Linked DNA regions of Xenopus tropicalis. The protein of the gene in region 4 interacts with the protein of the main gene of each other region in a pairwise test. Links are inferred from orthologs where the notes say so. Each region holds a gene or a part of one and is shown on either strand. Other genes may lie near its edges.

Region 1 (4,070 bases), on a different chromosome or scaffold from region 4:
GAGCGAATCTGTTCCGTTTCGCTTCGCCGAAAAATTCGCGAATCTTTGAAAAGATCCGCGAAACGCCGAAAATGTCGTGCGACAAAAAAAATTGTCGCCCGCGGCTATTATTTTGTCGCGCGGCTATTGTTTCGTCTCCCGCGGCTATTGTTTTGTCGCGCGGCTATTATTTCGTCGCGCACGGCTCTTGTTTCTTCGCCTGCGGCTCTTGTTTCGTCGCGCGGCTCTTGTTTCGTCGCTCGCGGCTATTGTTTTGTCGCGCGGCTATTATTTAGTCGCCCGCAGCTATTATTTTGTCGCACGGCTATTGTTTCGTCGCGCGCGGCTCTTGTTTCGTCGCCCGCGGCTCTTGTTTCGTCGCACGGCTCGTGTTTCGTCGCGCGGCTCTTGTTTCGTCGCCCGCGGCTCTTGTTTCGTCGCCCGCGGCTCTTGTTTCGTCGCCCGTGGCTATTATTTTGTCGCGCGCTATTGTTTCGTCGCCCGCGACTATTATTTTGTCGCCCGCGACTATTCTTTTTTTACGCCGGCGACAATTTTTGGACGTGCGGCGAATTTTTCCGTGGTTAAATTTTTCATCCGTTTCGCGAAACAATCCGCCAATGGCGAAACGCGGAAATTCGCCGCGAATCCATGCCTGGCGAAACTTTTCGCCCATCACTAATAATAGCCTCTGGGAAGGGACTGGGGCTGTGGGATAGCAGGTATAGTAGGGAGAGATGGTGCCTATAGTAGCAGTGGGATAATAGCCTCTGGGAAGGGACTGTGGCTGTGGGATAGCAGGTATAGTAGGGAGAGATGGTGCCTATTGTAGCAGTGGGATAATAGCCTCTGGGAAGGGACTGTGGCTGTGGGATAGCAGGTATAGTAGGGAGAGATGGTGCCTATAGTAGCAGTGGGGGGATAATAGCCTCTGGGAACAGACTGTGGCTGTGGGATAGCAGGTATAGTAGGGAGAGATGGTGCCTATAGTAGCAGTGAGGGGATAATAGCCTCGGGGAAAGGACTGTGGCTGTGGGATAGCAGGTATAGTAGGGAGAGATGGTGCCTATAGTAGCAGTGGGGGATAATAGCCTCTGGGAAGGGACTGTGGCTGTGGGATAGCAGGTATAGTAGGGAGAGATGGTGCCTATAGTAGCAGTGGGGGGATAATAGCTTCTGGGAAGGGACTGTGGCTGTGGGATAGCAGGTATAGTAGGGAGAGATGGTGCCTATAGTAGCAGTGGGGGATAATAGCCTCTGGGAAGGGACTGTGGCTGTGAGATAGCAGGTATAGTAGGGAGAGATGGTGCCTATAGTAGCAGTGGGGGGATAATAGCCTCTGGGAAGGGACTGTGGCTGTGGGATAGCAGGTATAGTAGGGAGAGATGGTGCCTATAGTAGCAGTGGAGATGACAGCTTCCAGTAGGCTCTGGAAGTGAAACTGAACAGAAAGCATTACTATCAGTATTGTCTTGGTGACAAGAGATACTTCATTGATGCAAGTTCCGGCACAACCAACTTGTCCCTAAGTATTCCTCATTCCCTTCTGAATGCAGAAACTTTTAATTTCACAGTACAGAACCAACAAGATGAGTCTTTGTGTCACTGTAATCGATGAGTCTATTTATCACAGAACTCTGCAAATGCTGATAGCCATTAAATGTAAGAGTAGATTTGTCAATCCTATTGAATAGCTTCCCACATAAAACTATGGATTTGTCTCAACTCCAGTACTTCCGCACTTCAGTACTTCCAAATGCAAAAAATAATCACCTTCTCCCCTTTCCTTTTATCTAAGAACTCTTTTTTTGTAAATTAGGACTATACTTACATACAATAAGAATTGCACTCAATGTTGCTATATAGTCAAACAATGTTGCTATATATATATACTGTATATATATATATATATATATATATATATATATATATATTATAAATATATATATATATAGTAAACAATGTTGCAATATGGAGTCAAATGTACACAAATATTTATACACTTATATAACTCTCTTCAAGTTTCAAAAAAGTGACTATTAAGGGCAGTGTAAAGGGTAAGTGCTTACACTGCTATTTGCCATAGCCATTCTTGTATGAATAGGGGAGTGCTGTCCATATCATTTAATAACAGCTGGGGGACCCCGGCTCCCTAAGTGAAACATAGAATAGGGCTGTACATATAAGGTACAGGCAGGGAACACACTTCTGCCCAGAAGTCATTTACCATAATATCAAGGGGCCACAATAACACCTCATCTTACTAAGCCAATACACTATATAGCCTGATGTACTGGCCCAGGGACTGGACCTTTATACATAACCCATTAAGGTTTAGGTGTTGGTGCTGAAGTACAAGGTACCACTTCTCAGTATAAAAGTAAAAGGGATGTTGTGCCAGACTGAGGATGCTTCATGCTCTGTATGCACTGCAGCCCCTGTAGTTGCCCCCAGTACTGAAGCAAATGCTGGAATTGCCTCCCCTTCCCACTCATGCCCTTACCTGTTCCTGTGCTGCTCCCACGCATAGTGCCCAGCCAGTGGGTGAGGGCTCCGGAGAGGGGATCTCTACCTTGGGGGGAGGCGCCCCCTTCCCTGCACAGACAAAGAGCCCACGCCGGAGGGTTCCAGGGAGATGCTGCTGGGGCTGCTGCTGCTGGGGCTATTCCCCTGCTGCCCTCCTGCTCCCAATCTAACGCAGTGTCACAGAGGGGAGAGTTCGCTCCTAAGCGCATCCACAGCCTGCAGTATCTCTGACCAGCGACCCTGAGGATGCAAAGAAGCAGCTGCGACGGGTCCAACCTCGCTCATCCCGAGCGAATCCGCTGGCTGCATCAGCACTCTCTGTTTATACTACGATTGGGGAGCCGCGGCGCCCTCTGCTGGCCCTACTGGGAACTGCGCTCGGGTAAACCAACCAGAAAAGAGCAGATGGGAGAATGGAGTCAGGATAGAGATTTGTTCCTTTATCTCTTCTTTTTATTGTGGCTGCTCTCTGTATCCTTAGTCTCTATCCTTGCACACTTCTATAGATATCATCGATATTGACACTTATTGGATGTGTCTGGTGAGGGTAACAGTCCCCAGTTAATAAATGGCTGCCAGGTAGCTGCTGAGGCGACCTTATTAGCAGCTGCGCTAGGAATAAACTGGGATAATGGGGTCAGTTAAGGACAAGGAGACAGAGCATTAGCAGGGTATATACTATTGCTATTTTATTATAATGGATTCATACATACTAATTGCCAGCATTTGTTTACAAAGTGTAGATATTTTATATAAACATATGTTATACATGTGATGCCCAAAACTTTTAAAGTTTTTGTTTAAGGTACACAGGTAAAGTAGGGTAGGGTTGCCACTTGTCCAGTTTTTACCCAGGCAGCCCAGTTTTCCGATACTGTTTGGGTAAAAACTACTAAATTAGGAAATCTGGACAGGACTTCAAATTAAATGGTGTGATGATCAGCCAATCACTGATTGCCACATCATAACCCTACTCCCTGATGTCATAGTCACACCCTGGAATGACATCCATCCCATGTCCTGTAGAGTGCTGGATGCTTACTTCTTGGGTTTAGTGTAAGCAGTGTCGGACTGAGCCAGTGGGCCCTGCCGGCCCAGACCCAATCCCCACCGGAGCACCCCTAGTCCAGTTATTTCCCTCCCCCAATGCGCTGAAGTTAAGCTTAATTAATGGGTGCTCGGTGGAGGGGGGTTGGGCAGGTGGCGCCCCCTGCAGGTGTTGTGGGGGCTGCTGCAGGGGCCCCTGCATGGGTTGTGGATTCGACACTTAGTATAGGCATAGGATCTGTTATACAGAGTGAGTTCGGTGGGAGTGAGTTCTTAGCATTCTTGAGGGAGGGGGAAGCAGGAGAGGGGAGAGAGCAGAGAGCTGCGTGTCTCTCATTAATTACAGACTCGAGAAATCTTTTGACAGAGAATTCAGTGCAGCATTACTGTAAGTGCTTATGGCTGTATTTACATAGACTTTTCTGATAAAGCTTACTTAGTTTTTACCTTTCCTTCTCCTTTAAGTCTGCTGAAAATCATTTAAACTTTAAATAAACCCAATAGGATTTCCACCAATA
Region 2 (3,500 bases), on a different chromosome or scaffold from region 4:
TTCCCCTGCACCTCCTCGTGCTGCAATCTGTCCATCAGCTGAGCCTGCAGCAGATACTGCCTCTGGATCTCCTCTTTCTCAATGGAGACTTGCTGATATGCTGCACTGTACTGCTGGAGGTGAGCGGAGACCTCATCTCGCTGACTCTGCAGAATCTGTATGTCCTGCTCCTTTGCAGCCAGCTGGTCAAGAAAGGACACACAGAGAGCAAATTGGTATCACTATGTACAGCCCAATGAAACAGCATTTATAGATACTGCATCCATTGCTGACCTGCTCTTTGAAATCGCCCAGGGTCTCCTGTAATTGCCCCAGCTTCTTGGCCAGCTCCTTTTTCACATGCTGCTCACTCTGTAATGCATTGGTGAGCTCCATGTTTTCATTTGTCTGAAAGAATTACAGAATAGTAAGTGGATCAGTCATAGTCAATATATTGACATACCAGGGTTATATATGGAAGGTCCAAAGCAAACACCTAAAGCGGAACTCTGGCTTCTGTACCAAAATGTTTTAAAGAGCCCCACACAACACTGAAACCCCTAATATACCTATCACTGTAACCTATATAAATAAATACCATTTTTATATGCTGAAATCCAGATGCAAACAGTTCCTATTTCTGCATCATTTAAAATCCTGCCAGGAAAGGGGGGACTAAAACATTGATGTCACAAATTGTAACAACTTCTCCACAACTTACAGACAGCATGCAGGTACTACATAACCCACAATGCATTGCACTGTGATGTTCATTTCCTTATTGATGTTATGTATGCAGGTTATAACTAAATGGACCTGACCTGTCCCCCAGCCCCTTAATGGGGTAGTTCACCTTTAAATAAACTTTTAGTTTGATGATGTAGATATTGATATTCTGCAATTGGTCTTGATTTTGTATGGTTTTTTTGGCTATTTAACTTGTTAAATAGTTACCAGCAGCTTTCCAGTTCAGTGAATATCTGGTTGTTAGGGTGTTATTTACCCTAGCAACCAGGTAAGGCCTCATAAATAGACAAGGAATAAAAAGTCACAATAACAATAAAACTGTAGCCTCACAGAGCTATAGTTTTTAACTGCCGAGGTCAGTGGCCCCTATTTGAAAGAATATAGTAAATAAATAACGAAAAATGCAGTGTTGCTAGGAATAGGACATTCTATCACATACTAAAAGTTTACTCAAAGGTGAACCACTCCTTTAAAACCAATAAGGCTGATGCAGCTGTTCTGTCCAACTTTAGACTCCGGGTTCAGACTTGAGAGAAAAAAAAGGACAAGAATGAGAAGCAGCTGCTCTCCATGAGCAGCTCTGCTACATCTTATAGCTTCCTTAAGATGCAATTCAGACAGAAGAGACGATAAGAGCTCATATAGGGAGACATGCCTACCAGTTTGACAAATCCATTCTGGAGCTCGGCCAAATGTTCCTTCAGTTGCCTGTTCTGGGTCAGTGCCCGGCTAATGGTGGCTTTATCGCTCTGCATGTTTTCCAGGATCTGCTGCTTGTCTACGTTTTCTTCACTCTGGCGTTGTAACGTCTTCTCCAGTTCCAGTAGCCGCTCTTCCTGTTCCTGGTTCAGCCGGCTCAGCTGACTGTTGTCTTGCACCTGGGCCTGATACCTTGCCTGCAGATCACTAAAATTCTGCTGTAGCTGATCCACCTCTTGGTGGAGGGCCAGTTCAGTTTCAGAGGGTCCGGCAGGGGGTGTGGGCTCAGTGTCTGTTGGTTCAGCAGCTGAAATAGCAAAGCAGTGGATTAAGGCAAAGGAACATGTGAAGCAGAGCATCACCAAGCTGGTGTGGGACTATATTCATTGTGAAGACATCTTTGTTTCCTTCCATGCACATACCTGATGCCAGCAGGAGCTCTGTCACCCTGGTCTCCAACTGTTCTACCTGTACCTGAGCTGTCTGTTTCTCTTGGCCCAAGGTCTGGATCTGGAAATGAGAGAATAGCATTCTAACTGCAGCTTCAGATTCCATATATTAAAATTACTTACATTTCTACATAGAGGAGTTTATTACTTAAAAAGGTAGATTGTATTTTTGTGGGGTTCCCACATTTTTTTTTAAAATTCTGGGGTTGCAGGTTTTTCCCCTCTTTTACAGAGCTAATGGTCTTCCCGCCCAAACCTGGCCCTCCTCCTCCTTTCACCATTGCTATTGATGGCATGACCATCAACCCTGTAAATTCTGCACGCTGCCTTGGGGTTATCTTTGACCAGTCACTCTCCTTCTCTAACCATATAAATAACACTGCCAAAACCTGCCGTTTTTTCCTCCGCAATATTGCCAAGATACCAGGGCTGTGGAGTCGAAGGCAATTTTGGGTACCTTGAGTCGGGAGTCGGCAAAAAATGAACCGACTCCTACTAAATTTAAATGGGAATTAAAAAAAAATAAAATAAAGCAAGTTTAAATGTCCCAATTCAGAAACAGTCATAATTAATTACTTCTCTGCTATAAGAATAAAGCCCAATGCACGCAGTGCATAAACGAACACGTTGAGTGACACGTTGAGTTAGTTTTAACTTAAAACTACCAAAGAATGTGGTTTGTTTTGAACTGGTAAAGTTGCTGTTCCTGATTTTTATGCCAGCTATTACTATCCAGCCACGTGTTTAAAAAAAAAAATAAACAAAACCTTGTTGTTTTCATTGTGTTTGTCTTTTGCTTTAATTGGGCAATACAGTAGAGTGTTGGCTTCCTAGCCAGTAGTTCTGTGGTTAAATGACATGTATGTCTCCTTCCTTTCCTTCAATGAATGTATAAAATACATTAGCATATTAAAAACAGAGGAGTCGGAGTCGGAAGTATCAGAAACTGAGGAGTCGGAGTCAAAGTCAGAGAATTTATCTACCGACTCCACAGCCCTGCAAGATACGCCCCTTTCTTTCACAAGTAACAGCTAAAACACTAATACATGCCCTTATCCTTTCCCACTTAGATTACTGCAATATCCTACTAACCGGCCTCCCAGACTCCCACCTCTCTACCCTGCAATCAATTTTAAACTCTGCTGCCAGGATCCTCCTGCTCTATCCGAAGAGGGAACCTGTTCAGCCTCACTTAAGCTCTCTAGCATGGCTGCTTGTTAAACAAAGGATAGCTTACAAAATCCTTCTACTAACATTCAAAGACCTTCACTCCTCTGCTCCTCACAACATTTCTTCACTGGTCTCCCTGCATGTTCCTGGTCGTCTCCTCCGGTCCTCTCAGAGCCTCCGTCTTTTTACACCATCCACATCCACTGCGCTCTCTCGTCTTAAACCTTTCTAGCTCGCTGCTCCTTACCTCTGGAACTCTATCCCTGAATCCCTCCGTAGGGAACACTCACCCACTCTCTTTAAGAAAAAACTCAGCTGTTACCTTCTGGAGCACTAAAACATTATTTTTTATACCTGGTGCACTCTTACCTTCCAGTTTGTGCCTGTATGTTACCCAACCACTTAGATTGTAAGCTCTACGGGGCACTTGTTTATTGTATTTATTTATTATATCAC
Region 3 (4,174 bases), on a different chromosome or scaffold from region 4:
GGGGGGCTAAACTGGTAATTCACAAAAAAATCTGTGTAGACCGTGCCGCCACGTATGCCATCCCACCGGCGATTTATATTTTTGCCGGTTGGATGTCATATCGGGGAGATTTTTCGTGGGCGACTTATCTCCCCGTGTACCAGAGCCCTAAGAAATAGGCTGATAACAGATTGCAATACCACTTGTATGTATGTATATCTTTATTTATAAAGCCCTACTTATGTAAGCAGCGCTGTACAGTACAATACCACTTTTTATCAGATTCTAACACGACTTAAGGTGGCCATACATGGTAAGATATTCTTGTTGGGAGAGATCGCCAAATGACTGGATCTCCTACCAATATTCCCTTATTCCATTAAAACCAATGAATTACAACTAAGGGTACAGGCACCGTAGGATTGACACGTAAGTCATCCCGCCAGTGATTTACATTCTAGCCGGTGGGATGGCATTTCAGGGAGATTAGTCGCCCGCAACAAGGAAGATTTGTCACGCTCCGACTAATATACTCCTGTGTCACAGTCCTTAAGCTACAATCACAGCATGGAAAAGAGCTAAAAGGATTGTGTAATCAAACGGGTAAAAAAGTGATTTGGTTTAAGTTTGCAAATTACCCAAACAGATGAGAAATCACTGAATAGTGTAGTTTTCCTGCAAATACAATCTGTATTTTGAGGATAATGCATCCAAACTGGAATGCACTAGTGACGCCCCAGATCAGTAAACAGCAGTGAAATGGCTGCATGCTGCAGGTTAGCCCAGGTATGCGCTGTAAGTTGGCAGGTTATGTTTGTTACAAAAGTAAACATTTAGTCATATTAGTGTATATATAAAAGTTTTTAAGTCAGGAAACTTTACATATCACACCAATGGTTTAGTTTAAAGGAACAGTAACATTAAAAAATAAAATAAGCTACGTGTATGTAGCTCTTAGACATGGATTCAAACAATGTGCCTTTTACCTTTTTCAGCTTGAATGGCTGTGCCTATGGCTACAGAGGAGCGTGTTTATATATAGTAGTGTTACTGAAGCAATCATCGGTTTTACCAGTGCAGGGCAACAGTACATTATAATGTAATTAATTGTTTAATGTAACTGTTGCTTTAATATCTAGGAATATCTGCTGGAATTCCCCTGTAAACACACACAAAGGCCCTTGATTTTAAACTCTCTGCATCTAAGAACCCTGAACTTGATCCAATGAAAGGTACACTAAGCCCCAAATCACCGGCTAAAATTATTTTATAAAATATTTAATACTGCAGTATGTTTAATACCCCAACATACATTGTGAAAGGCACTGGACCTTTATATCCAAACAATAGTACAGATAAAGGCTTGGTACAAGGTCTGTACAACTTGCATCCCTGTAATACCCCTTTACCAGACCTAGTCTGACCCTATATCACTGTGTTAAGTCCATTAAAGGAACAGTAACACCAAAATATGAAAGTGTTTTAAAGTAATTAAAATGTAATGTACTGTTGCCCTGCACTGGTAAAACTGGTGTATTTGCTACAGAATGCTCCTATAGTCTATATAAATAAGCTGCTGTGTAGCCATGGGGGCAGCCATTCAAGCTGGAAAAAAGGAGAAAAGGCACAGGTTACATAGCAGATAACAAATAAACTCTGTAGAATACAATGGCATTTTATCTGTTATCTGCTAAGTAACCTGTGCCTTTTCTCATTCAAATGGCTGCCCCCATGGCTACACAGCTGCTTTGCTTATATAAACTATAGTAGTCTTTCTGAGGCAAACACACCAGTTGTACCAGTGCAGGGTAACAGTGCATCATATTGTAATTGCTTTAAAACACTTTCATATTTTGATGTTACTGTTCTTTTAACATTGATTTAAACCCCCCATACACTGTACATCTGTGCTTAGAAACATAGTTCATACATTATCACCATGAGCTGAAACCAATCAATCATACTTAGTTGCAATACAAAATGGTGTCATGGCAAAATAAAAAAAACTTGCTTTGTAGATGAACAGGACTGCCCAATAGCTAGGCCTAATACATTGCTAACTGCATTATGGGGGCACTATGGGGCATTATGCCATGGGCTGGGGGTTCAAACTAAAGGCAGTTAGAGATTTGGGGAGAATGCTTATTTGCTATTCAAGATTCTCCCATAAGCTCATCCTGTAGGTTTATGATGTTTATGGATGAGCAAGTATTTATTGCCCTAGATATCCTCTGGACTATGGCTGATACCCCATATATGTTCCCCTGTATTATAACTTAGTATGTGGCCCCTGACCATAGCTTGCACCTTTAAAAATAAAAATAAATAAAGCTTGAACGGGAAAAAATTCTACGATCCATTTTAATTATTATTTAATGTTTCACACAAACTGGCCAGTGAATGGCGCTGTCTCATTGGGTGTATTGAGATTCAGCCCGATAGCGCCACAAATAAAGCCATACAAAGTAAGGTCGCTGGGTCGATCATCATATGTTTTTTAATCGGGATTATTTTAACAAATGAGGCCATGGCAACGCACAGCATAAAGGAAGGTATAAAGGAAGGTATAAAAGGGCAGAGTTGCAGAAGCGGCAGGCCGCCCCACGCCAGCGGGACCAGAACCTTCGGGCCTACCCAATGGGCTACGTAAAGAAAAACTCCGCCCCATCTAGGCCTCAACCGCGCACATTTCCCTCTTCTCCCGCCACGCCACATATTATACGGCCCCAGGCCGGCGGCTCCCGGGTTTCACCTTACCTTGCTTATTTTCATTCAGCTGCCGCTCAAACTCGTCGAAGTCAGACATGATGGCCGCGCTTTATTGTGATGGCGGCGGCAGGCCGTGTCCGAGCGCCAGTCCTGCACTCTCTTCTCGCGCTCTTGTTCTCAGAGGAAGGAGTGGGAGGAGGAAGGAGACAACGCAGTCGCAACACGCTTACCAACCAGCTTGGCGGCTTCCGGAAGTAGCGGGGCAGGGGCTTGTTAAGGATTCGCCCGCTTCCGGAAATGATTGGGCGGAGCTTACTATTTTCTCGGCTTCTTTTGAAAAGGGCTTTACTGAAGCGAGAAGACTTCCGGGAACTTCGACAATTTTCGTAAGTAGGGGGGCGTGGTTTATTCAAACATATATGTTTCGGACGGACATGAAATAGAGCCGGCGGAAGACGACGTTAATCCGGTCATTTAAGTTTAGAAGAAAAGGAGACATCGATGCAATTAAGGTGGCATGGCTAGCTGAGCGTGAGGCCTGTTAAAATTAGACACGGACATAAATAAAACATGTACATATGTCTCTTTGTAGGCGGTAAATACATATTGACGGTGTGTTCTCATTTGTAAGGACAGCCTCCTCCTGATTGGTGCAATACACGTGTTTTCAGGAAGCCCAACGTGCAGGGCCAATATGAGCGTTGTACTGCGATGTACCTCTCCTGTTTTATACACTTTGCTATGGGATCCGCAATGTGTTATCTTCCTCCAAATACTGTTTTGTTGCATTAAGAAAGAAAAGGGAACTTGCAGAGATGGATAGTCACATGTTACTTTAAAATATATACAATATTATGCCAAATAATTATACTAATCTAAATATAGATTATCCAGAGAGAATCCTCCCTCAGTCTTTTTAAAACTAAACTAAGATAGTACCTTTTGGAGCACTCACCCAGCACCTGATCTGGGGACTAGCACTTATATTGTAATGTTACCCACTGTGACCTACAGCACTTATATTTGCCGATTTGTGTCTGTAAGTTACCCTCCCATATAGATTGTAAGCTCTACGGGGCAGGGACCTCCGTCCTCTTGTGTCTTTGACTCTTTCAACTGTACCTTGTATTTATTGTTATACTTTGTATTTATTATTATCTTAATAACCCCATTTGTAATAATCTATTCTACTGTACAGCACTGCTTACATAAGTAGTGCTTTATAAATAAATAAAGATATACATACATATAGAAGGAATGTGCCTGAAAAAGTAGTGTTTTAGGCAGCCCATTCTTTTTTACTGGCCTATACTGACACAGGTTGATGTAAGTGCTGAACGCAGGTGGAAAGCAACATTATGCATCGGAGGGCCTCATACACAGGCAGATAAGCTGTCAAATCAGTCTGACTGGGTTAAATCACAGAAACCCCTAATCACTATAATCTGTTCTTTGATACCATTTTTAAATGTTGAAATCCAGTTGC
Region 4 (3,500 bases):
GGGCCCTCTAATCCACATTTTACTGTGTAACCCTTGTTTGTTAAATTATTGTAAGATCCCTGTTTGTTATAAATTAATGTGAAGTGCTGCATAACTCGCTATATAAATGATGACCGATAATGATATTATTATGACAGTCACAACAACATTGTGAAGGAGGGTGTTGTTTATACAGAGCTTGGTGCCCTCTAGTTAAACTAATTCAGCTAATTAATGGCAAGGTTGTAAGTGTGAAAGCAAACTTCCATCACTGCTTTGTAATAAAAAATAACTTTTACTCATGTTGAAAAAAAATATTTTATAGGCATGTACTACCTCTTAGTTGTCAGGACTTGGACTGGTGTACCAGGTAATGCTGCCTTGTGCACTCTAAAATATCTCTTTTCCCAATTCTTGTCTTCCTAGACAAAAAAGTGACGGTGTAAGCCTTTACTTCAGGCCTTCGGATTTTACTTAAACTTGTTACTGCATCTCACTCTCATAAAACACTCAATAATCCCACAGGCATTCAAACATAATGGAGAGCACTATATAGAAGTCATAATTCCAAACTTATAGCTGCATTTTCCCAATAATTTTTTTTCTCCTTTTTTTCCAACTTAGGCTGAAATAGTGAAGCGTTTAAATGGAATCTGTGCACAGGTGTTGCCTTATCTCTCACAGGAGGTAAGTTCCCAATATACTGAAAGTTACCTTCTGACTGAGAAAAGTATTTCTTCTGCCTAACCATTAGGATTATACCACTTTAGTATGCATTGCTGTGCCATTGCTTTCTTATGTATTCCACAATACAGAAATGCAAGAGTTAATAAAGCCCATTATTTTCTGTAGAGCTTCTATTTATGGGGTCCCACCAAACTGCCAAATGGAGGTGCCATGCTCCCTGCTTATTTACTGTAATACTTCATCCTAAGCATTCTGAAGCATTGCAGGGTACCAGCGTTTGTCAGTACTGAGCATGTGAGCCAGGCCAACTGGTAATATGCCGTTTCCTCTATTGGGGGAGGTGCCAGTTCAGGGGGATTTCAGAATGTAATGTTTCGGGCCTTTGTCTTCAGTGGCATAGGACTGCTAGCTCTGGGAAGCAGCCTTATGTTAATTAAAGTAATGTTTATGAAGGTTTTAGTTGCCTTTGAACACATTAGAATCTTCTATATTGTTTGTCTTGGCTGTAGTAATTTCTGGAAATCAAATAAAAAAAAAATCTATCTGGTTTCCATAAACAGATTGTTCTATTCTTGTTTATCAGGAGTGCCCCAGAGCTTGTCTCACAACTTGGTGTTTCTCACATATAAATGCCAATCCTTGAGAAATAAAATGATCATTGAACACACTAAGCCACCCTTGATTCTGATGTCTGGGGCAAGTGGGAAATCTTCCTTTAAAAAAAAAAATTAAGAACTGTAGCCCACAGCTTTAGATATTCATTCCCCTTGCTAAGGGGTAGCAGTAATACAATGTCTTCCCCTTTCCTTAATGGTAAATCCAAGCATAGTTACTCTGCCAGGGGCAAAGTCAAGGAATTCACAATCGCCTCATCCCATAATTGTTTTTAATTTCTGAGGATGCAGAAAACTATAGCTCAGCTATTTGCAATCAGCTTTTCAAATAAAACCATTGACATTAGTACAGAGAAACAAATCTAAGTGTTGGCTATTTCTATTTGGGCTATATTTTGATGACAATTGATAATTGAGTTATGAAAATTCCATAAAGAATTGAAAGAAACTCCACAGAAATGTAAGAAGCGCAAGGGTAGCCATAAGGATACTTTGACACACTTGCCAGTGAAATGCTGGCTAATTAGTGTCTTTTTATTCTATAGATATTTGCATTTAGATAGCAGGGAATATGTCTGCTTTGTAATGCCTCCGAATAGCCTTCATTCAGTGTATTTACTTATGGAAATGAAGACTGTTCTAGCCACAGGATAAATGCAGTCAGAGGCAGACTGAACATATGGTTATTAGCATGCCCTGTATCACTTCTTACATGTGATGTGGAATTATATACTGCAGCAGGGTAGAAGGCCCTACATTCTGAGATTTATTTAATATTTAAAGCTGTGTAAAATGATTTTACATTGGAAAAATAGTATATTTATAAAGCTGTATATTTCTTGTTATACAGATATGGGACCTTTTATCCAGAATGCTCAGGACCTGGGGTTTTCCCGATAAGGGGTCTTTCGTGATTTTGGATCACCATACATTGAGTCTACTAAAAAATCATTTAAACATAAACCCAATAGGATTGGTTTTGCCTTCAGAAAGGATTAATTATATCTTTCTTGGGATCAAGTAAAAGATACTGTTTTAATATTATAGAGAAAAGGGAATTTAAAAAAAAAAAAAAAAAAGTCTGAATTATTTAATTAAAATGGAAATTCAAAGCTTTCTGGATAACGGGTGGAAATCAGGCTTATTGGGTCTATTTAATGTCAGTGGTGGAAACAGACCATGCAGTTATCGGTGGGGGCAGGCGGGCCCAAACTAGAGGATCTACTTCATCTGTAGCTATAGAGATTTCCCTGAGAGCAGGCAGGGAGTGAGAGACACATATGGGAGGGAAGCGATGGGGGGGTACAGGTTTGGCAGGTACAGGTTGGGGTGAGCGCCAAGCCCATCCAAAAAACTTATTGCAGGGGGGCTTGGTGCCATGTAGTTATGCCACTGTTTAATATTCTCTTTTTAAGCGAAATAAAGGTATGGTTTACCAAATTACAGAAAACCCCAGCTACCAAGCATTCCTGATAATAGATCCTATACCTGTACATTAAAGGCAGCAACCAAAAAGGGCAGTTTTGTGACATATGCCTGTGCCACATATATTTGACTCCAAAATGTAGATGTCTGATTTTATCAGCACAGAATATTCAGTTTCCTTAGATTTTATTGCGGAGAACAATGGTTTAGGGGGGCTTAAGAAAAAAAGCAATGGTTGGCCAGATCTAGAAAAAGTAGCAGCAATATGGGGAATCTTTGGCTGTACTTGATTTGCTAGGTGACAAATCTCCCTAGAACAGTATTGGCTGAAAGCAGTGACAAAGCAAGCTTTATGTACAGATGCTGTTAAAAACTACTTTGCTGGCAAGAGTTACTTATGACTGCCTCATACTAATTCTGACCCTTTGATCTTTCCTAAGCACCAGCAGCAAGTCCTGGGAGCCATTGAGCGAGCAAAGCAAGTGACTGCTCCAGAGCTGAACTCCATCATCCGTGTACGTGAGAACACTTTTGGCATGCCCTTATTCATAAACAATGGAGAGCAGGTTGCGGAGGTGGGGCAGTGGAAAAGACAGATTCCATTCCATAGTTGACCGTACTCCTGAGTCACTAGTGCCAGAGGCAATGAACATGTGGTTATTTATTCAGGGACCAGCTCATGTAATCCATATAGTGTTGCAAACATTCTTTTGCATTCAGGATGTACGGTTGTTTATTATTGGTATGAATGGAACTTTACCTATCAATTTTTTTTTCTTCCTTAATATGGGAGAT
Region 5 (3,967 bases), about 10 Mb from region 4:
TCTAAAGAGACTGTACCATGGAACTGTAAAGAGACAACAGTACTGGGTAAGGCTATGTAACTGGAAATGCAGGTTGATTGGAATATGCATAACCACTGAACTGGAAAAAGTAAGGCTTCATGACTTCACAGACAAAATAACATGCCCTAAACAGGTTGCTTATTTAACTGAAATTGAGTTTAGGTTGCAGGGCTGAAACTAATAGGACCAGGATAGGTAAGGCTACAGGGTTAAAGGGGTCATGTCACCCAGACATAAAAAGCTGTACAACATTATAAATAGCATGCAAAGACAATGTTATGATAAATATAAAAAAAGGTTGCATTTCTGGTGTCAGTATCTCTATAATAACAGTACCCACAAAATAGTGCCTGCCTACCTGCTATGATTGTCAATTCCAAGACTGAAAAAAACAACATTTAAATAATTCATACAGTGTAAATCAAGTTTATTTTACTCAACTAGGTCCCCTTTAAGGTTGCAGGACTGAAATGGCTAAGACAGCAGGAGTGAAACAAATAAGGTTACAGAAATGGAACAGATAAGGCTCTGGAAAGCAGATAGGGACTGAAGGCTGAAGGACTGGCAGGACCATAGGGGTGTAAAAGATGAAGCTACAAGTGCCGAAGGACTGCAAAAGGCAAGGTAAGGCTACTTACTGGGCTGAAACCAATAAAGCTTTAGAAATCATAAAGGTAAGGCTGAATGACTGGGTTAGGCAAAAGACCAGAACTGTACCAGGAAAGGGTTTACCCTTTAGAGGCAAGCCTAGAGGACATGATCAGGAAGGTTCATTATATTAGGTTAGGTCTCAAGACTGAATGAGGTAAGACTTTGTGACTGTAATGGGTATACGAATTGAAGGGGTATCAGAAACCAAGAAAACCAGGCCACAGGACTAGCATAGTATTGTAATGTGAAATCAGAATTACTTAACTAGGTTTGCATGTAAATCTTACTTTGCCCTTTATATTTGCTACCTAATCAGTGGATGACTAGCATTTTCAACAATGCATATCTAGTTATGTTGGAAATCACTTAATTATTGACTTCATGCAGACTAGATTCTAATAAAGGAATTGATTAATATATATTCCCTGGTCTTTATGTTTTACTAGAAATTTATTCTTTGTAAATGCATTTGTGTTTTTAAAGAATTGATTTTTGGCCAAACAATGAAAATTTTAAGACTGCCTTTTACATACTGGGTGGGGTGCTACAACCACCTGCAAATTAGGTCTTCGTTCTTGCAAAATAACTCCACTGAAATATATAGATACAGGGGGCTGTGATCAAAGTATAATGAAAATAGTACTGAGCAGCATTGGTCAGATCAGTAACACTTCCCTTACACTTTATCTGTTCGATAATTGGACTTGGAGTGCTACCACAACCCCCTGTATTTTTAACATTCTAAACTGCCATCCCTATTGAAGAAATAGTAATTTTTGTTGTTGTAATCGTTACACTTCAATCATTTTTTGTCCTAAAGTAGTTTTTCTATCCAATAAGATATATCTATACAGCACATATTTGAGTTCTAATCTACGGCTCCATTTAGCAAAAGTATAAATGAGTGATTTTTAAGGCTCTTGGCAAACAGAGTGCTTTATATCCATATTTCTGCCTACTGAGAAATCTCCCACCTACTCTAGTACTGGCCATTTTCATTCTTAAAATGCACCCTAGAGCATTTTAGGTTAAAAAACCTCCAGTATTGGCAGTGTCAGGGGGTCATTATTACAAATAATGGAATGCACCTAGGGCAGTTTGGGCACTTCTCTGCTGGCTGAACTATGTTCGCTAAGAAAATGCTCCATGTGTAATCAGCCTAAAATGATACATAGGTTTTACATGTAGGTATGCAGTGTTTTGGTCTTCTAAGGCTATACTTGAATTATGCCAGCTTTCAATATTTCAGTTTTTTGTAAAACAGGGACAAGAAACCTAAAGCTGGTATACTGATGCTTTCAACTTTTCCTTTGAAAAACTGCAATGGAGCATATGTAAATAAATAACAAACTCTGTAAAGTGCGGCAGGAATATGTTGAGGTTATAAAAATAAAGAATAGTATATTTTTAAAAATCCTAAAATGATGGAGCTGCTACTTAAATGCTAAGCACTGTATATACCATTTTCTAACCTAGAAAATCACAAGTGGACTTGAATCTTTATAGTACACTTGTGAACATGTCTGATTAATGTATAAAGATGGGAAAAAAACAATATTTAATATAAATATTAACAATGATATATCACAGTCTCTCTGTTGTGGTGTGGCATTTAAAATACATAAAAAAAATTACTATTGGAAAATAGATAAATCTTGGTTTATATATATAAATAGCGCCATTTAGCATCTAAGGAAAACCTTTGCCTTATGCAAGAACTAATACTTAAGTTACCAAACACATGAAACAAAAACCTTCTAGTTTTAGAAAGTAAGAGTAAGAAACTTACTTGGTATGTATCAAGCTGTTCAGCAGTGAAAATAGTTTGCTTATTCCCCATGACTTTAGGGAGCTCCTAATCCAAATCCCCTTACCATTCTTCTGTTGTTCTGTTTTTATACTGTCCCTGAATATTGAGATATTAAAAGCCGCAACAGCAGGGGTCAGGCACAGGGAAAGATCGGATGTCACTATCTTATTCTTCCTACTTTTCAGGATCATAATAGGAGCATTTCATCAAATCTTTGATGTGTATAAAGAACTCATGCGCATAAGGCTTCCACCATCATTCAGGAGCATACGCATAAAGTACTATAATTACACCATCTGTTGCATGTCCAACATAAACTCATATTACACCATCTAACATGACTATTGCTAAAGGAGGACATTGCCTTTTTCAAGTTCAGTGACACATGAAGAGAAAGTACTACTGGAAAAAAATATGTTTGTCAAAGCATTTAGGGGCTGGTACATGTCTAAAAGCAGTTTCAGAGGCAATTTGTCTCCTACATTGCTATACCCAGTAGGGATGCACCACATAATTTATCTTTAGGTTTGACTGAATATACTGGGTAAAATGGATAAAAAATATTTCTAATATTGTTAGTTAGACAAAAATGTAATCTATAAAGGCTGGAGTCAATAGATGTCTAACATAATAGCCAGAACACTACTTCCTCCTTTTAGCTCTCTAACTTCTTAGTTAGTCAATGACTTTAGGGGGGGGCACATGGGACAGTAAACTGTTCAGTTAGTTTGTGAGCACGCTGGTCAGATTCAACTAATTAACTAAACAGTTATGTCCCATATGCAACTCCCCCATCAAATTACTGATTGGTTGCCTTTAAAGATTACATTTTTTCCGAACTATGTTGAAAACATTTTTTATTTTGCGCAATCTATCTATTTTACCCAGTTTCATTTTTACACTGAACTGCTATTTTAAGGGGTGAGATTTAGTTTGTCTGAATACTATGGGGCAGATTTATGATTGCTCAAGCCTTTCGGCTCCAGCAATCATAAAAAGCCCCATGTGGGTTAAGGAACTCACACAGGGCTTCAGGGGAAAAAAGGCTTGCACAATCATAAATCTGCCCCTCCAGGTTAGAATCACAGTCCACTTGAATACAGTGAACTTATTTCAGTAAAAGCCATGCTGGAATTAGTGGTGTGACTACAGCTGGGGCAGGGGGTATAAATGCAGCAGGGCCTGTCCCACAGGGCCCAGCAGCATGCATTATCGCTATAGGGATGGCAGGTAGGGTGCTCATTTAGTGGGGTGCATTGCAGATGGGGGCCCAATTGCAATTTCTTTAGGCTCAACACTGACTGCAATCCATAATAAACTCTCAAACAGAATAACACCCTACACCACATCCCAGAAAATATAAACTAAGCAAAATAAAGTATGTTAGCAGCACAGTATATAATTGTCAAGATGCATATTTGCACCAGGGCAGTTTTGAGCAGATCAGCCTTTTCTCTACTGGCATATCTACTCCAGACAAAAAAA
Region 6 (4,004 bases), on a different chromosome or scaffold from region 4:
ACACAGACCTGAGCCAATTGAGATATCACTACATTTATTTGGCAGGAGACATTATTTCTTTATAATACACTAGTAATGAGTAAAAATATAGCCCTATAAACAGTGTATAGTGATGTCATCAGTTAGAATCAGGCCCAACTGACTCACTGAAACTTTGTTTCTAAATTAAGGCTATAAGGAATCAACTTGGAGTTGCCTGAACAGTACAGGTATGGGACCTGCTATCCAGAATGCTCTGGACCTGGGTTTTTCCAGATAAGGGATCTTTCTACTAAAAAATATTTTAAACATGAATTAAACGCAATAGGGTTGTTTTGCCTCCAGTAAGGATTAATGATATTGTAGTTATGATCAAGTACATGGTACTGTTTTATTATTACAGAGAAAAAGGGTTTTATTTTACAGAGAAAAAGGATTTCATTTTGAAAAATTTGAATTATTTGCTTATTATAGTCTCTGTGGGAGATGGCCTTCCCATAATTTGGAGCTTTCTGGATAATGGGGTTTCAGATCCCATACCTGTATACACTAAAAGCACTAAGACTGAGACCCTGTGCTTTATATTGTCATGGAGTTCTTCAGTGAATTCTTATATAATTTTATTTTACAGTAGGGGATACATTATTCCCTATATAAATGTTTTAATTGCATCCACAGAAAGAGATATAACCAGAAGACCTGTAATGCAGTCTTTTCTTGGATCATATCCAACATCCAGATGCCAGAGAAAGGAAGAGTACATGGCCTATATACGCTGGTGATAGTTACTTTTACATATTTATGACAGAGTGCTTTTAGTAATGATCTTAGTTGTTCTGATAAAGTTGTTCTAGAAGTGCTGTAAATGTTACCTTTAATAATTACTTCTATTACAAACAAGAATTAGAGCAAAATGCATTTATTTTGGTCCATTTTGCCGAGTTTGAGCTTAATGCCACTACTTCCCATTGCTCTGTAGGTGCCAGTCTTCTTCAAGCAAACACAAATATAGTCACACATTCATTGTACAGGTATGGGATCCCTTATCCGGAAACCCGTTATCCAGAAAGCTCCGAATTACGGAAAGCCCGTCTTCCATAGACTCCATTTTAATCAAATAATTCAGAATTTTAAAACTAATTTCCTTTTTTCTCTGTAGTAATAAAACAGTACCTTTTAATTGATCCCAACTAAGATATAAATAATCCTTATTGGATGCAAAACAATCCCATAGGGTTTAATTATTGTTTTGTTGATTCTTTAGCAGACTTAAGGTATGGAGATCCAAATTACGGAAAGACCCCTTATCCGGAATACCCTTGGTCCAGAGCATTCTGGATAATGGGTCCTATACCTGTACTAACTTTCCCTGGTATCCTCCCTTGTGAATTGAAAAAGATGATCTCAATATACTAACGAAGCAATTTTACACGTATTACTCTTTTTATATAACATATTAGTCTTTTTTTGCACAAAAACAAGTAATACAAAAAATGTTTTCACAATTGTGTCTGAATAGCCCATTTCTCAACCTCCTTCCATGACTTATTCACAATGAGCATTGTGAACATTAAACAACAGGTCTTTGAAATAGCACCATAGGATTTACAGGTTATTAGACTACTATCTATATGGTGCAGCACATTTGACAGTTAAGAGATTGTTAACCATTCTCAACAGTCCGATGGAGCTTAGAGAATTAGGTACCTGTTAGCAATTATTCTGCCTTTATGTTTTGGGGGTGTGGGAGGAAACCAAAGCACCCAGAGAAAACCTACACAAGTATGGGGAGAACATTCAATGGGCGTCCTGGTTGAGTTCTAACAGAGGACCCTATAGGTTCAGCACACACTGAAACTTTTTATTTATATTTTCAACATAAAAAAGAAAAGAAATCCCCTCTACACTATTGCTGGTATCATTGGTATATACAAGTTACTGTACAAAACATGGCAAATGCCCCCATCAATGTAGCGTACATCAGTTAAGCACAGCAGTTCTCAAACCTCCAGCATCACATTTCATTACATACTTTTTTGGATATACAAACAGGTGCTAGGAACTCTCACCTCAGACCAGGACTGACCTATAAAATGATTGGTTAAAGATCCAGTGCAGGAATATGCAACCCTGGGCACTTCAGACATTGCAGAACATCACCTCCAGTTGTTTGATTGGAAGAATGCTGGTGAAGTTCTTCAACATCTAAGTGTCCAAAGTTTACTAATTCATGCTCTTGAGAGCCCTGGGTGCTTGCTTGCCCGTACTGTAAATGACCATGACTGTTAGCACAACTGGAAAAAAAAGGTTTGGGACCCACTGACAGTGCATTCCACACTGTTAAAGTTATCAAGCAATGACACAATGACCGTGACCATTCCATATTAACCCATTTGTTGGCTAACTTACGTGCCTTGCTTTGGGCGGTCGTTTCAGTTCTTCTGCTCTTGCACCTCTCTCTGCCATGTATAGGGAATTCTTCTGCATGTGCCACAGGATAACCAAGGAGTCTGAGCAAAAGTTTCCCCAGGAAAGTGACAGCTCAATTCAGTTGTTTAATTGATGTTGCTTTTTCATTGGCCTGTCCTGTTCCTGCCTCTGCTCTTAACAGGCTTTGCCTTGGGATTTAATTGCTTATTTTCAGTTTCAGTCAGTTCCGACCATATTTCAAATCAGCCTCTCACTCTTCTCATGTAGTGTCTCACACATCTGTCCCGTATCTCTTAGCTTATGTCCTTCACCTCTGTTCCTGGCTCCTGCCTTTTCCAGTCAGTACTATTGTTTTGTGTCTCTAACTTACTGATTTAGAGGAGTTCTTCCCTGCCTGGGGTTGGCGAGCACTCACTGCTGTTTCCCACCCACATACACATTGCATCGAGAGACTTTCTCTGTGTGTCAGGGTCTGTGTAGGAGGACTGGGGGAAGGGCCACATTAAAGCTTCCATCACAACAGCAATACAATACAGAGGCAAGACTGGTCCTCCTATAACCATTTCTGTGCTGGAACTGCCCACACACCACAGCCCCGCACAAGAGAGGCAGCATGATATCATAGTTCCTTTGCTGCTGCAGATAGAGAGGAGCCAACTGTGAGATAATCTTACTGGATATTTTAGATAATGGTTTGGAACTTGGGGCATTTATTAAAGAACTGTACAGTATGGCTGCACTTGCATGGGCAGCACAAAACCTTTAGCAGCCTCTGAAGAGATCTGGTTGCTGATAAACTACAACTCTCATCCTCCTCCAGTAGCTGCTGGTGGAAGGTAAAGTTTAACATCTTCTGGAAGCTCACTGGTCGTTCATTCCAGGTATATGCTCCCATGTCTGGAACACTGCCCTGCAGCACATCCCTTATGCAGTTCACTCTGAAAATTTAATCTGGGCGCATTGCAAGGTCATTCTTTGTGATTTTAATATGATTTTATCAGTTAGATTAGTCGCGCTGCGACAAATCTCCATTGTCGTGGGCGACATCTCCCCGCAATGCCATCCTCCTCCGCAATGCCGCGTATGCCATCCCACCGGCAATTTACATTCTAGGCGGTGAGATGGCATTGCGGGGAGATTAGTCGCCCGTGACAATGAAGATTTGACGCGTGACGACTAATCTCCCTGTGTGTCACTGCCCTTAGACAGGTAATGCATGTAAAACAAATATGAAATTCTGCTACACAATTAGCATGTAAATGATATGTGTGCTACCCTATAAATTAGAATAGGGTTTCATCTGCGTTTCATATATTAACATTGGAGGTGAGGTTGAAAAAATATATGACAATAGAGTACACAGGGTTGGGCTGGGCCGGTGGGACACCAAAATTCTCCCCCAATCGAGGCAAAAAAAGTATATGGCACGCGGGGGGAGTGGCTGGCAGTGGGTGATCGTGCAGGTGGCGGGGCCCCTGGGGTAGCAGTCCTGGTGGGTCTTGCATACCCCAGTCTGACCCTGGTATAACAGCCTTTTGCATAACTCTCAGATGATCTAGAGCAGGGCTGTCCAACTGTTGGCCTGCGGCTGGACA
Region 7 (3,202 bases), on a different chromosome or scaffold from region 4:
TAAGGCTCCGTTATTTTCAGCATGCGTTTACTTTTTTTTCTTGCTCATTTATTATTTATTACAAAAAAACCCCACACCCTATGCCGTGTATAGACTAATAGAGAATCAAGCCTTGATTTTTATATGATTAGAGCTGCCCATAGGCCAATGGGGGCAGGTTAGCGGGAGCGGGAAACATTTTATTTCCAGACAGTTCAGTAACGGTGTGGGTGTGTTGTACTGCGGTAAACTAAGGGGGAAAGAGGTGCAATTCATAAATGGGCAAAATAAGGGCAATAAAGCATGAAAGAATAGTAATGTGTGTTTTTTACTCAAGGGCATAATCCATTTTCCTGTCTTTCCTACAGCCATAGATTATATCCAGTTTCTCAATAAGGAGAAGAAGAAGCAGGAGGATGACGTGTCCACATTACGGAAGGAGGTCATGGCTTTGCAGATTATGAAATCGTAAGCTATCCATTGCTATTTGAATGCTTACGAAGGGGGGTGAATAAAATCTGTTTGTGGTTGGCTCACATTGTGCCCCCCTGTGCAACATGCGTGCAATGGAAAGGGCTTGTGCCTATTGTTTTAATCACAAAACATCTGTGGTTTTTGTCTTGAGCTAAACACGGAAACTGAAGCTCTTCCATGTTTGGTCTTTGTGAGGCAGATAATTAGATTACAACTTTACAGAGAATCCCTCTGCTTAAACTGGAGTAGAATCTATTTATATGCAGTTTCTACATACAGGACAAGGAAAGGAATAATTGTTTATATATGTCAGTTCTCGCCAGGACATGGGTAGGGTAAGAGGCTCTAACAGAAACCTATAATAAATGCCATAACGTTGAAGAGAAAGTCCAGTATCATGCAACTTCTATAACGGGGGTCCCCAACCCTTTTTACCAGTGAGCTACATTCAAATGTAAAAAAAAAAGACACAAGCACCGAGGGGTGCCAAATAAGGGCTGTGATTGGTTATTTGGTAGTCCCTATGTGGCCTGGCAGCCTAAAGGAGATTTTCTTTTATTAGTACATCTGTTGTTTTATGCCTCCAAGCCAGGAATTCAAAAATAAGCACCTGCTTTGGGGGCCACTGGGAGCAACATCCAAGGGGTTGGTGAGTAACATGTTGACTCCAAATGGAAACACAAGAAATAAGAAAGTCTATCTTCTAGACCAGTGGTCCCCAACCAGTGACCTCAAAGAAGGTGTTTATTTTAGAATTTCTGACTTAGATGTAAGTTTTGGTTAGGTGTACTGCCAAACAGTAGTAGCCTCCTGTAGGCTGCCAGTCCCCATAGGGGCTACTAAATAACCGATCACAGCCCTTATTTGGCACCCCAGGCGTATTGTGCAGGATTGTGTTTCTCTCCAACTCTTCTGTCATCTAAATGTGGCTCCTGGGGCAAAAAAATCATTGGGGATCCTCGTTCTAGACACAGAGCAGAAGTACCTCGGGCTGCAGTATGAACCAAATAAACCGCTCAATTCAGCCTGTACCAATTTCATAACCTGACAAATCTATATTCCATAAGTGCTTACGTGGGTCAGGCTGAACAACAAGCAATGAATATTCAGACCTATCCATCTGTAGCAGCAGTAAATAAACTATTTTAATATTATTCTATCATTTAATCTATTGATGATATATATCCCATGTTACAGAAATTACGAGCAGATCGTAAAGGCTCATCAAAACAATCTCCATGAGGGCACGGATCAAGTCCCGGACGAGATGAAATTCAGGGTGTTCCAAGGCATCATGGATTCTCTGTTTCACACCTTTAACTCTTCTGTTTCCGTGAACAGCTTTCAAGAGCTGTCTGCATGCGTATTTGCCTGGATAGAGGAGCACTGCAAGCCCCAGGTACGGCAAAGAGGTCTCGCTTTGGGTCTCTGTGCACTTGGGGCCCAATTCTGTGTTATGAGAACAAAATATATTTGTTCTCTAGGCACAGGCCCTTAGGTGCCTATATATTAATATGGCCCTAAAGACTGTAGATGAGGGATAATCCAGGGGGTGGGACTCAAGCGAGGAGCATTGGACACTAGCTAGTGTTTATAGGGAGAATCAATTGCATGGTCCGTTTGGGGGGCTATAGGCACCATAGGGGAATTTTCTGGAAGATTTCCATGCCAGTATGAGCACGAGATGCATTGCGCCAGGCTAACCAGCGCTGTTATTCTCTATATAATAAGCGTTTCCCTTTCTCTCCTCAGACGCTGCAAGACATCGTAATCAGATTCCTGCACCAGCTGAAGAACCCACTGTACTAAGGGACATAACTCTTTCCGTCTCTCCTGAGATAAAAGCCAAAGGAGTTGGCAGCGGTGCAGACGGCCCAGAAGCGACGCGCGAATGTGTCCGATGGTTCTGCGTTGCTCACTACTGCCAATTCTTACCAATGCCTCTGCTACTGATTGCGCCGCTGCGTGTCCTTGTGTAAATCCAGAACTATGGTGCCTGAGTGAGGCCATATTCAGCACATGTTGTACCGGCGCCTTCCGGATCCATTCTTGATCAGTGACAAAAGGGCCGAAGAAAGACTTGTTTTTTGCTTGTGACTTTATTGCAGTTTCCTTGAGTGGGGGGGGGGCTTCATTTCTATTCTTTTTTTCAGGTTTCGTGCTATAAATCAGCTTATTGAGTCTTAAAATCATTGACATTTTCCTTTAGTTCAGCACCTTTCCATTAAAATCAGAATGTTTAACCCAAACGTTTTGTGTGACTGGATATGTCCGTGTGCGGTTCTGTCAGTCTTACACAGGGTCGGACTGGGCCGGTGGGACACCGGGGGAAAAAACCCAGTGGGCCCTGCCGCCTCCACTGACCCAGCCCTCTCCTTCTTCTGCCCCTGCCGGGAACTGGACTTGCCCCGTTCAGTGCGCCTGAGCTCCCACCCTGATCGCGGAGGGGGGTGCTGTACGTGGACCTTCCTGTCTGGGGTGGGGAGGCAGCCCCAGTGGGCCCTTGACACCCCAGACCGTTCACCTTTAAAATAACTTTTAGTATGCTGTAGAGAGTAATATATTGAGAATTTGCAATTGGTCTTCATTTTTTATTGTGTAGTTTTTGAATTGTTTAGCTTTTTGTTCAGCAGCTCTCCGGTTTGGAATTTTAGGAGGTAAAAAGAACTGGTCCTTTTAAATATAAAACTTTTTCGAGTCTGTTCAATCCCATAGCTCTGCCTCTGTATAAGCACTAATGTTAGATTTA

What was found.
Region 1: the proteins of tle5 (region 4) and mtus2 interact in binary tests that used the Homo sapiens proteins (3 or more experiments, as listed by UniProt). The two-hybrid records come from large-scale screens. The link is inferred for Xenopus tropicalis from reciprocal best matches to the Homo sapiens genes TLE5 and MTUS2.
Region 2: the proteins of tle5 (region 4) and golga2 interact in binary tests that used the Homo sapiens proteins (3 or more experiments, as listed by UniProt). The two-hybrid records come from large-scale screens. The link is inferred for Xenopus tropicalis from reciprocal best matches to the Homo sapiens genes TLE5 and GOLGA2.
Region 3: the proteins of tle5 (region 4) and u2af2 interact in binary tests that used the Homo sapiens proteins (3 or more experiments, as listed by UniProt). The two-hybrid records come from large-scale screens. The link is inferred for Xenopus tropicalis from reciprocal best matches to the Homo sapiens genes TLE5 and U2AF2.
Region 5: the proteins of tle5 (region 4) and cib3 interact in binary tests that used the Homo sapiens proteins (3 or more experiments, as listed by UniProt). The two-hybrid records come from large-scale screens. The link is inferred for Xenopus tropicalis from reciprocal best matches to the Homo sapiens genes TLE5 and CIB3.
Region 6: the proteins of tle5 (region 4) and nab2 interact in binary tests that used the Homo sapiens proteins (3 or more experiments, as listed by UniProt). The two-hybrid records come from large-scale screens. The link is inferred for Xenopus tropicalis from reciprocal best matches to the Homo sapiens genes TLE5 and NAB2.
Region 7: the proteins of tle5 (region 4) and mlx interact in binary tests that used the Homo sapiens proteins (3 or more experiments, as listed by UniProt). The two-hybrid records come from large-scale screens. The link is inferred for Xenopus tropicalis from reciprocal best matches to the Homo sapiens genes TLE5 and MLX.

What each region holds. Positions count from the first base shown.
Region 1 is NC_030678.2:154,747,922-154,751,991, forward strand, and holds the start of mtus2 (microtubule-associated tumor suppressor candidate 2), read right to left. Parts: upstream 2,801-4,070; 5' UTR 2,483-2,800; intron 1-2,482. UniProt on the Homo sapiens protein: Binds microtubules. Together with MAPRE1 may target the microtubule depolymerase KIF2C to the plus-end of microtubules. May regulate the dynamics of microtubules at their growing distal tip.
Region 2 is NC_030684.2:22,913,211-22,916,710, forward strand, and holds part of golga2 (golgin subfamily A member 2), read right to left. Parts: intron 1,936-3,500; coding exon 1,848-1,935; intron 1,733-1,847; coding exon 1,386-1,732; intron 388-1,385; coding exon 274-387; intron 183-273; coding exon 1-182. UniProt on the Homo sapiens protein: Peripheral membrane component of the cis-Golgi stack that acts as a membrane skeleton that maintains the structure of the Golgi apparatus, and as a vesicle thether that facilitates vesicle fusion to the Golgi membrane.
Region 3 is NC_030683.2:104,041,734-104,045,907, reverse strand, and holds the start of u2af2 (splicing factor U2AF 65 kDa subunit), read right to left. Parts: upstream 2,801-4,174; 5' UTR 2,786-2,800; coding exon 2,737-2,785; intron 1-2,736. UniProt on the Homo sapiens protein: Plays a role in pre-mRNA splicing and 3'-end processing. By recruiting PRPF19 and the PRP19C/Prp19 complex/NTC/Nineteen complex to the RNA polymerase II C-terminal domain (CTD), and thereby pre-mRNA, may couple transcription to splicing.
Region 4 is NC_030677.2:114,608,411-114,611,910, reverse strand, and holds part of tle5 (amino-terminal enhancer of split), read left to right. Parts: intron 1-603; coding exon 604-666; intron 667-3,145; coding exon 3,146-3,220; intron 3,221-3,500. UniProt on the Homo sapiens protein: Transcriptional corepressor. Acts as a dominant repressor towards other family members. Inhibits NF-kappa-B-regulated gene expression. May be required for the initiation and maintenance of the differentiated state.
Region 5 is NC_030677.2:104,261,276-104,265,242, reverse strand, and holds the start of cib3 (calcium and integrin-binding family member 3), read right to left. Parts: upstream 2,801-3,967; 5' UTR 2,513-2,800; coding exon 2,462-2,512; intron 1-2,461. UniProt on the Homo sapiens protein: Acts a an auxiliary subunit of the sensory mechanoelectrical transduction (MET) channel in hair cells. Plays a role in regulating hair cell MET channel localization and function.
Region 6 is NC_030678.2:139,231,720-139,235,723, reverse strand, and holds the start of nab2 (NGFI-A-binding protein 2), read right to left. Parts: upstream 2,801-4,004; 5' UTR 2,446-2,800; coding exon 2,393-2,445; intron 1-2,392. UniProt on the Homo sapiens protein: Acts as a transcriptional repressor for zinc finger transcription factors EGR1 and EGR2. Isoform 2 lacks repression ability.
Region 7 is NC_030686.2:6,137,877-6,141,078, reverse strand, and holds the end of mlx (max-like protein X), read left to right. Parts: intron 1-347; coding exon 348-447; intron 448-1,650; coding exon 1,651-1,852; intron 1,853-2,205; coding exon 2,206-2,262; 3' UTR 2,263-2,702; downstream 2,703-3,202. UniProt on the Homo sapiens protein: Transcription regulator. Forms a sequence-specific DNA-binding protein complex with MAD1, MAD4, MNT, WBSCR14 and MLXIP which recognizes the core sequence 5'-CACGTG-3'. The TCFL4-MAD1, TCFL4-MAD4, TCFL4-WBSCR14 complexes are transcriptional repressors.